2 linked regions of the Oryctolagus cuniculus genome follow. The protein of the gene in region 2 interacts with the protein of the main gene of each other region in a biochemical or structural test. Links are inferred from orthologs where the notes say so. Each region holds a gene or a part of one and is shown on either strand. Other genes may lie near its edges.

Evidence for each region.
Region 1: the proteins of DLAT (region 2) and PDK2 form a complex in vitro, tested with the Homo sapiens proteins (2 studies listed by BioGRID). The link is inferred for Oryctolagus cuniculus from reciprocal best matches to the Homo sapiens genes DLAT and PDK2.

The regions. Positions count from the first base shown.
Region 1 is NC_091448.1:26,068,060-26,072,290, reverse strand, and holds the start of PDK2 (pyruvate dehydrogenase kinase, isozyme 2), read right to left. Parts: upstream 2,862-4,231; 5' UTR 2,693-2,861; coding exon 2,575-2,692; intron 922-2,574; coding exon 780-921; intron 1-779. UniProt on the Homo sapiens protein: Kinase that plays a key role in the regulation of glucose and fatty acid metabolism and homeostasis via phosphorylation of the pyruvate dehydrogenase subunits PDHA1 and PDHA2.
Region 2 is NC_091432.1:103,982,046-103,985,612, reverse strand, and holds part of DLAT (dihydrolipoyllysine-residue acetyltransferase component of pyruvate dehydrogenase complex, mitochondrial), read right to left. Parts: intron 2,652-3,567; coding exon 2,464-2,651; intron 191-2,463; coding exon 37-190; intron 1-36.

The sequences.
Region 1 (4,231 bases), on a different chromosome or scaffold from region 2:
GCCTGCAAAACCATGGGCACCTGGCCAGGCGGTAGCTGCTGCTGCCTCACACCCAGTGTGGTGCCAGGATCAGAGCAGGTGTGGACAGCACGGATTTGCATCCTGCAAATCCCGAAGACCCTGTGCAGGGCTGCACGGGGACACAAAAGACCCATGCTGGTTATTCACTGCCGTATCCCAGTGGCAGGCAGAGCACAGCCTGGCTTGCTGGTCACGTGACTGGCCGCTGGCTAAGGTATTCCAGCCACCTGACCTTGGCCAGAGCTTGAGCGTGAACTTCACCAAGGCTTTCGCCCGCTCCTGCGGCTACATGCAAGACACTTCTGGTCTTTGCCCCATCCAAAGCTCTTTGGGGAGGGACTGTGCCATACCTGAGTCTCTCTGGGTCTGACTGGTAGCTTGGATTATATAATGTGTTTTAGGAGGTGGCTCTTCTTTCTGTGTTTCCCAAAAAGTTACTCCAAGTAAATATTACCCAAGAGGGCTAACGCTGGCATCGGCTCGACCAGCGCTGTAGCTGTGAAAACAATGATTGTCCTAGGTGTTTCCAGAGAAAGGAGAATGGTAAGAACGGGGCTGTCTTGGCAGATACGGAGGCCAGGAGCTTGACCTTGACCCCGCATTGGCCTAGGAGCCCCACTGGCCTGGGGTAACCCGCTAGCCTCTCTCCTCACCCTCCTCAAGGCTGCTGGGAGCACAGAGACCCCCCCCCCCCCGCCAGCAGCTCTGGACACCTGACGGTGGGGTGGGAGGTGTGGGGAGCAAGCCAGGGGTCTCACCAGCTCTGCACCAGCTGCACGGAGGGCGTGCCGAGGACGCGGTCCGGAAGCAGGTTGATCTCTTTCATGATGTTGGCCAGGCGCACGGGCAGCTCCTGCCGGAGGAAGGTGAAGGAGGTCTTCTCGCAGGCATTGCTGGAACCTGCAGGGAGAGAGAGGACGGGGAGCCCCCGGAGCTGGAAACCACAGCACCCAGTGAGCTGAACCCTTCATTTCTGGTGCACAGCGAGACACCCACCACACTGCCCTGCCCCAGGCTTCAGCCCGGGCCCACCTGGGGCTGCCTCTAGCCTAAGCCACCTCCCTTCTCTCTTTCCCTCCTGGTAGACACTGCCTCAGTGAGCAAAGGAGCCTGGGAAACACATCCCTACCTGGGCTAGGTCCTGGCTGGGAGGAGGTATGCCTAAGACCTCCATGGCTGCAGGGGCCCAGCCGGCCTCAGCCGGGCTGGCCTGGATGCACAGTGTAGCGCCACCCCTGTAGTAATGCCCACATGTGCACAAATGGAGCCTGAGGACTGGAGTCCAAACAGCATGGGCTGGGTGGAGGATAAAGGAGCGGTGACAGGTTGAATAAGCCGGCCTGGAGGCAGGGCATCTCAGCCACCCAGGTGTGTCCCACCCTTTGGAGTTCTGTTTCCCACCCTGTATAAGCGGACCAAGCTCCACTATGCAGGCCTGCCAGCTGCAACGCTTCTGCAGCTGAGAGCTGCTGGGGCTGGGAGGGGCCCGGAAGGCTTTCCTACCTAGGGGCAGCTCAAGACTCAAACAGGGAAGGGGGCCCGCGGACTCATCCCGGGGAAAAGGTGCCCTATGTCTTGGCTGCCACCCCCTGCCGGCTCCTGTCCGTGACGCAGCTGTAACCGAAGCCACGCACTATCAGCTGGACTCTGGAGAGACCTGGCCTGCCCTCCCACCCCCCCCAGTCTCCAGCTGGCACCACGGAACCACTGTGCAGACAGACAAGGCCCATACAATGCCTGTTTGAGCTGCCCCGCTGGCACGGCCACCTCCGCCTGTCCTGGAGCCACCCCCAGAATGCTGGCGGGGGGCGCTCCAGGGGCAGCCCAGGGGCAGCCCAGGGAGGGTACAAGTGGCCTGACTCCATCTCATGGCGTCCTGGGCTCCTGCCCAGCAAGGACAGACGGCCAGGCTGGGACAGATTTGATCTTCAAGTGTCCTTGCCCACTGAGGCAGCTGGGGTGCAGCCCCTTCAGTCGGTGCAGGTGCACAAGTCAGGGGGACCCAGCGATGGGGGGCCTGTTGGCACCTTCTTCCCAAAGGGTCCCCTGGCTTTGTCTCACTCTGCCCAGGAGCCTCTCGGCCCTCAAGCACGGCCCACCCAGGTCTCCTTCCAGATGGCTGCATCTCCACACTCTGCCAGCACTCCCACCGGCCTGCTTGCCATCTCCTCAGGCCCCCAGACTCTCCCAGTCACCTGGGCAACATTATTAACCCTTCGGTGCCTGCACACCACCCGGCTCCCTCCCTGCCCCAACGTCATCACCGCTCACTGCCCAAGACCCCTCTGAGAGCCGGGGAAGAAACCTTGGACCCCTCCATCTCAGCGCCCCCGTCCCCTGGAACAGTCCAGTGGGGAGTCCCTTCTCGGGGAGTCCTTAACCCTTTCCGGGCAGGCGCTAACCCTGACTCCCCATTAACCCTTTCCTTTCTGTACTCTTCCAGGCAGCTCGTCCCTGTCCCTCGGGCCTCTCCTGGCCTCCGTGTCGGTCCTTCGGGAACAGGGTCCCTTCGACGCCCCCCGCCCCCGCGGGCCACCGCCGCCCCCTCCGTACCGAAGTCCAGAAACTGCTTAATGGACAGGGGCGACGGGGAGAACTTGCTGAAGTGCTCGATGTACTTGGGCGCCCCTGCCAGGGACGCATTCTTCAGCAGAGCCCGGACCCAGCGCATGGCGGCGGCCGCGGCTCGGGCTCGGGCTCGGGCTCGGGCTCGGGCTCGGGCTCGGGCTCGGGCTCGGGCTCGGGCTCGGGCTGCGGTCCCGGCCGCGGGTAGCGCTCGCGCTCGGCTCGGCCCGGCCCGGCCCGGCCCAGCGACGCGGTTCGACCACCTCCTCCTCCCTACCCTGGCCCTGGTGGGTCTTGAAAGGCTCAGCCAATGGGCTCGTCGCGGCGCCCCGACGTCGCCAATGTATGTTCACAAACAACTCCGGGAGAGCCAATGGGCTTCCGCCTCGGCACGTGGCTTCCCTCTGGGCCCGCCCCGTTAACCCCGTCCCTGCCCGAGGCGGCCTGTTGTTTTCCGGAGGCAGAGCCGGAGTCCCGCCTCCAGCCCGCACACTCCTCCCTTTCCTTCCCTGGACTGGGCCCGGGTTAACCCCTTCCTTCCTGGAGCCCTTTCGCCCGCGCTTCCACCTGCGCCTTTCCGGGCCCCCAGCTGTCTCTAGGTCCTTTTAAACCTCTCATTTCTTGACCTGTCCAGGTGGCTTTCAACGAATCCCCTTTCTGCAAGAGATGCCCGTTTCACTGGTTCTGATGCCTGCCTGCTCTCCCTCCCCGGGGTCCTCTGGGTTCCGAGCGCAGATGACAGCGCCCCGGACTGTGTATGTGCGCCACACTGGGGACCGGCACGCAAGCCTAGGTGCGCAACCCAGCCGCCTCCATGGAGGCCCGAGTGGCTCCGGGTAAAGTAGCGGTAGCCTTTCCCATCGAATAACACCGGAGTCAAAACCCTCGCGACAGGCGGCGGTGGAGACAGCAGTTGCCACCAGTGCGATCTCCTTTTCCGTTTGAGAGGAGGAGAGACAGGTACTGAAAGCGAGCGCCCCGTCCGCCGGGCCTAGGGATGGAACCCGGGGACTCCGATGTGGGTGGAGGGGTCGTCTTAACCGCTAGACTCAACACTCACAACAGGTGCTAATTTTCGAGCACCTTTAGCGAATCAGCACAACACAAAGCCTTGGCCATGGAGCGCGCCCCTCCGCCCCTCGAAACCCCTGGGCTTCTTTGGGGACAGGTTCCGGGAGCAGGTGCGCCCCGGGCGCCCCCAGCAGCCGGGCTCGCTTATAGGAAACGTGGCGCGCCCTCTTGTGGTCAGAGGAGGTATGTTCCATCCCGGACCTGAGTTCTGCTGGCCACTTGGATGCTCTCTGCTCTTGGAGGGGACTGTCCTTGGCCAGGGCTGATCAGGCGCCTAATACGTGCTGGGCTTTGTCCTGGGATCAGGAAGCACAGACAGCACCGAGACTAGACCTTGTCCCTCGATCATTTCGTTTCTCGGTTTGGAAAACAGATGCATAAGAAAATAATTACAACAGAAGGTGATTATCACAGCCTACCCTTACATGCTGGGGGAATAGGCTCCAAGACCCCCAGTGGCTGTTAAGACCCCCTACACACGCACTTTTTCCCTGTAGACACATACCTAAGATAAATTTTAACTTGAAAATCAGGAACAATAAGAAATTAACAATGAGGAGCCGGCACTGTGGCA
Region 2 (3,567 bases):
CAACTGACTTTTCACTCTCCGTAGAAACAGACTTACCTTTTACTTGTGTAAGATCAATGCCTTTCTCTGCTGCCAGCTTCTTTGCCAGAGGGCTGACAAACACCCGTCCTTTTGGTCCAGCAGGAGCAGCTGGCAAGGCGGCTGAAGGTGTAGGGGCAGAAGGCTGAGGAGTTGGAGCAGCTGTGGCCACCTTTCGAAAAAAGCTACAAATTATTGATTCATCACCACAGAGACCGGCCTGAAAGATTCGGTTTCCATTTTATAAAGAAATTAAAACTTAATTAAGCAATGTTCATCTTTTTTAAAAGATCAGAATGAATTTTTTTTTAACTTTTAACCAACACAATATAGCAAAATGAATGGCAAGGACAATTCTTTATGTCCAGGACAGAATAAAGTTATCTTACTCTGTAAGGATAGGGAAATTTTTTTTCTGACAAGGGTCATTTGGATACTACAAAATTAAAAAATACTACAAAAAATAAAAAATCAACTTTAAAATGAGCCTACTATAGATTAATTGAATTTTTTTTTTTTTTATTTTTTTTATTTTTTTGACAGGCAGAGTGGACAGTGAGAGAGAGAGACAGAGAAAGGTCTTCCTTTGCCGTTGGTTCACCCTCCAATGGCCGCCGCGGCCGGCGCGCTGCGGCCGGCGCACCGCGCTGATCCGATGGCGGGAGCCAGGAGCCAGGTGCTTTTCCTGGTCTCCCATGGGGTGCAGGGCCCAAGCACCTGGGCCATCCTCTACTGCACTCCCTGGCCACAGCAGAGAGCTGGCCTGGAAGAGGGGCAACCGGGACAGAATCCGGCGCCCTAACCGGGACTGGAACCCAGTGTGCCGGCGCCGCTAGGCGGAGGATTAGCCTAGTGAGCCGTGGCGCCGGCTTAGATTAATTGAATTTTGAGTTCCACCTACAGTTGCCTTTGCAGGGCCAGACAAGATAATTTCATGGGCCTTATACTGATAACAAGCTGGACATTTCCCACCCTGTCTATGAGTGGAATATAATACTTCTAACCAATATATAATATCCCTACAACCTTTTTTCATTTTAATCTCATATCACTTCTTTATTCCCATTCTTCTGTACTTCCAACACGGTTTTTGTTTTTACCTTACCTAATTTCAAAATATAAAATGATGGAAGGTTCCATGTTCAAAGTATCTTTTTTTTTTTCTTTTTTTTTCTTGTTTTTGACAGGCAGAGTGGACAGTGAGAGAGAGACAGAGGGAAAGGTCTTCCTTTGCCATTGGTTCACCGTCCAATGGCCCCACGGCCGGCGCAATGCGGCCGGTGCACCGCGCTGATCTGATGGCAGGAGCCAGGTGCTTCTCCTGGTCTCCCATGGGGTGCAGGGCACAAGCATTTGGGCCATCCTCCACTGCACTCCCTGGCCACAGCAGAGAGCTGGCCTGGAAGGGGGGCAACCGGGACAGAACCCGGTGTGCCGGCGCCGCAAGGTGGAGGATTAGCCTAGTGAGCCGCGGCACCGGCCCAAAGTATCTTAAATCAACATTGCCACTTGCCAGCTCCTCATAAACACCCAGCAATTAGGAATCAGGTTTTCTCTGACAGAAATGTGTACCTCATCTAAAGTCGCATAACTCTAGCATCTAGAATTGTCATCATACATGTTATTTGGCTTGCAGTTAACACAAGTTCATGTTATAGATCAACAGTGTATGCTACGACACATATAGTGGCATACTAAATTCTATGCTAAACAAGTCATATTCTGTCAATGTATTACAAAGATATGCTTGTTCCTCTATAATATGTAAATACCAACAGGAATGAAAGTGACAGATTATCTGGTAAATTAAACAGAAAATGCCAAATGAAACCTTACCTTCCAGAAGCATATCTACACCTAAAGCAGAAAGAGATCATGTCACCTCACATTTGCTCTCAGCAGGACTCAAGATAGCAGGCAGAAAAGAGCTATAAGAAAAAAACTGGCCGGCGCCGCGGCTCACTAGGCTAATCCTCCGCCTTGCGGCGCCGGCACACCGGGTTCTAGTCCCGGTCGGGGTGCCGGATTCTGTCCCGGTTGCCCCTCTTCCAGGCCAACTCTCTGCTATGGCCCGGGAGTGCAGTGGAGGATGGCCCAGGTGCTTGGGCCCTGCACCCCATGGGAGACCAGGAGAAGCATCTGGCTCCTGCCTTCGGATCAGCACGGTGCGCCGGCCGTGGCGGCCATTGGAGGATGAACCAATGGCAAAGGAAGACCTTTCCCTCTGTCTCTCTCTCTCACTGTCCACTCTGTCTGTCAAAAAAAAAAAAAAAAAAAGAAAGAAAGAAAAGTAAAAGAAAAAAACTATCCACCCTGAGGTTAACAGTGCAGCATGACACACCCTCTAGAGACAGCCACAAATGTCAATGAACTGTCTCCCTCATTCACAGGATCTTGGCGTTGAAAGGAATGCAGGGCATCACCTAATTCCAGGAGTATGCCTACCGGGGGTGGGACAGGTGGTGGTGCTTGCGGTTTTAAATCAGCCACTTCAGTCGGCCTATAGTCAGCAAATGCCGATATATCTGCTTCTTTTTCTACAATGATACAGAGTGGTGTTCCTAGAGGGACATCTCTCGTGCCTTCAGGGATCAGGATTTTTGCCAGATAGCCTTCTTCCTGCACTTCAAAACCTGAAACAGAGAGGGGAAACATTATGGCACTTAAAAGAACCCACTACCCCTCCAGACTCACAGCACAGTTTTAAGCTAAAGGCTTTTCTCCTGGCTGTAGTACCTTTTTGCATGCTATCTAACCTCTGTGTCTCTGTTTCCTTTTTTAAAAAAAAAGATTTATTTATTTATTTTGAAAGTCAGAATTACAGAGAGAGAAGGAGGGAGACAGACAAAGAGACCTTCCACCTGCTGCTTTACCCACTATGCCTCAAGGCTGGCCCCTCTATCTCACTTTCTTGACTTTTACAATGAGGATAATAGTACATTTGACCCTTTATAGCCAAAGGTCTGGATCCTCATATTCAAAGAACCTTGGGTTGAAAAGGTTACATTACTGCTGACATGTATGTGGGGACTTCAAAAAAGTTTGTGGGAAATAAAATTAAAATTTCAAAAACAAATTTTGCAAAACTTTTTGGGGCAGGCATTGTGGCATAAAAGGTAAATAAAGCCACTGCCTGAGACCCCAGCATCCCATACGGGTGCCAGTTTATGTCCTAGCTGCTCCAGGCTAATAGCTTGGGAAAAGCAGCAGCAGATGACCCAAGTGTTTGGGGCCCTGCTACCCACGTGGGAGACCTGAATGAATCTCCTGGCTCCTGGCTTCAGTCTGGCCCATCCCTGGCCATTACAGCTATCTGGGGAGCAAACCAGAGGATGAAAGAGTGCTCTCTCTCTCTCTTCCTCTATCTCTGTAACTCTGATTTTCAAATGAATAAATAAATCTTTAAAAAAATTTAATTCCATATGAATGTTTCTTAATTCACATTTTTCCGTGATTTTTTTTAAAGACTTATATATGTATGTATGTATTTGAAAGAGCACAGAGAGTGGGAGGGAAAAATCTTCCACCCACTGGCTCACTCCCCAAATG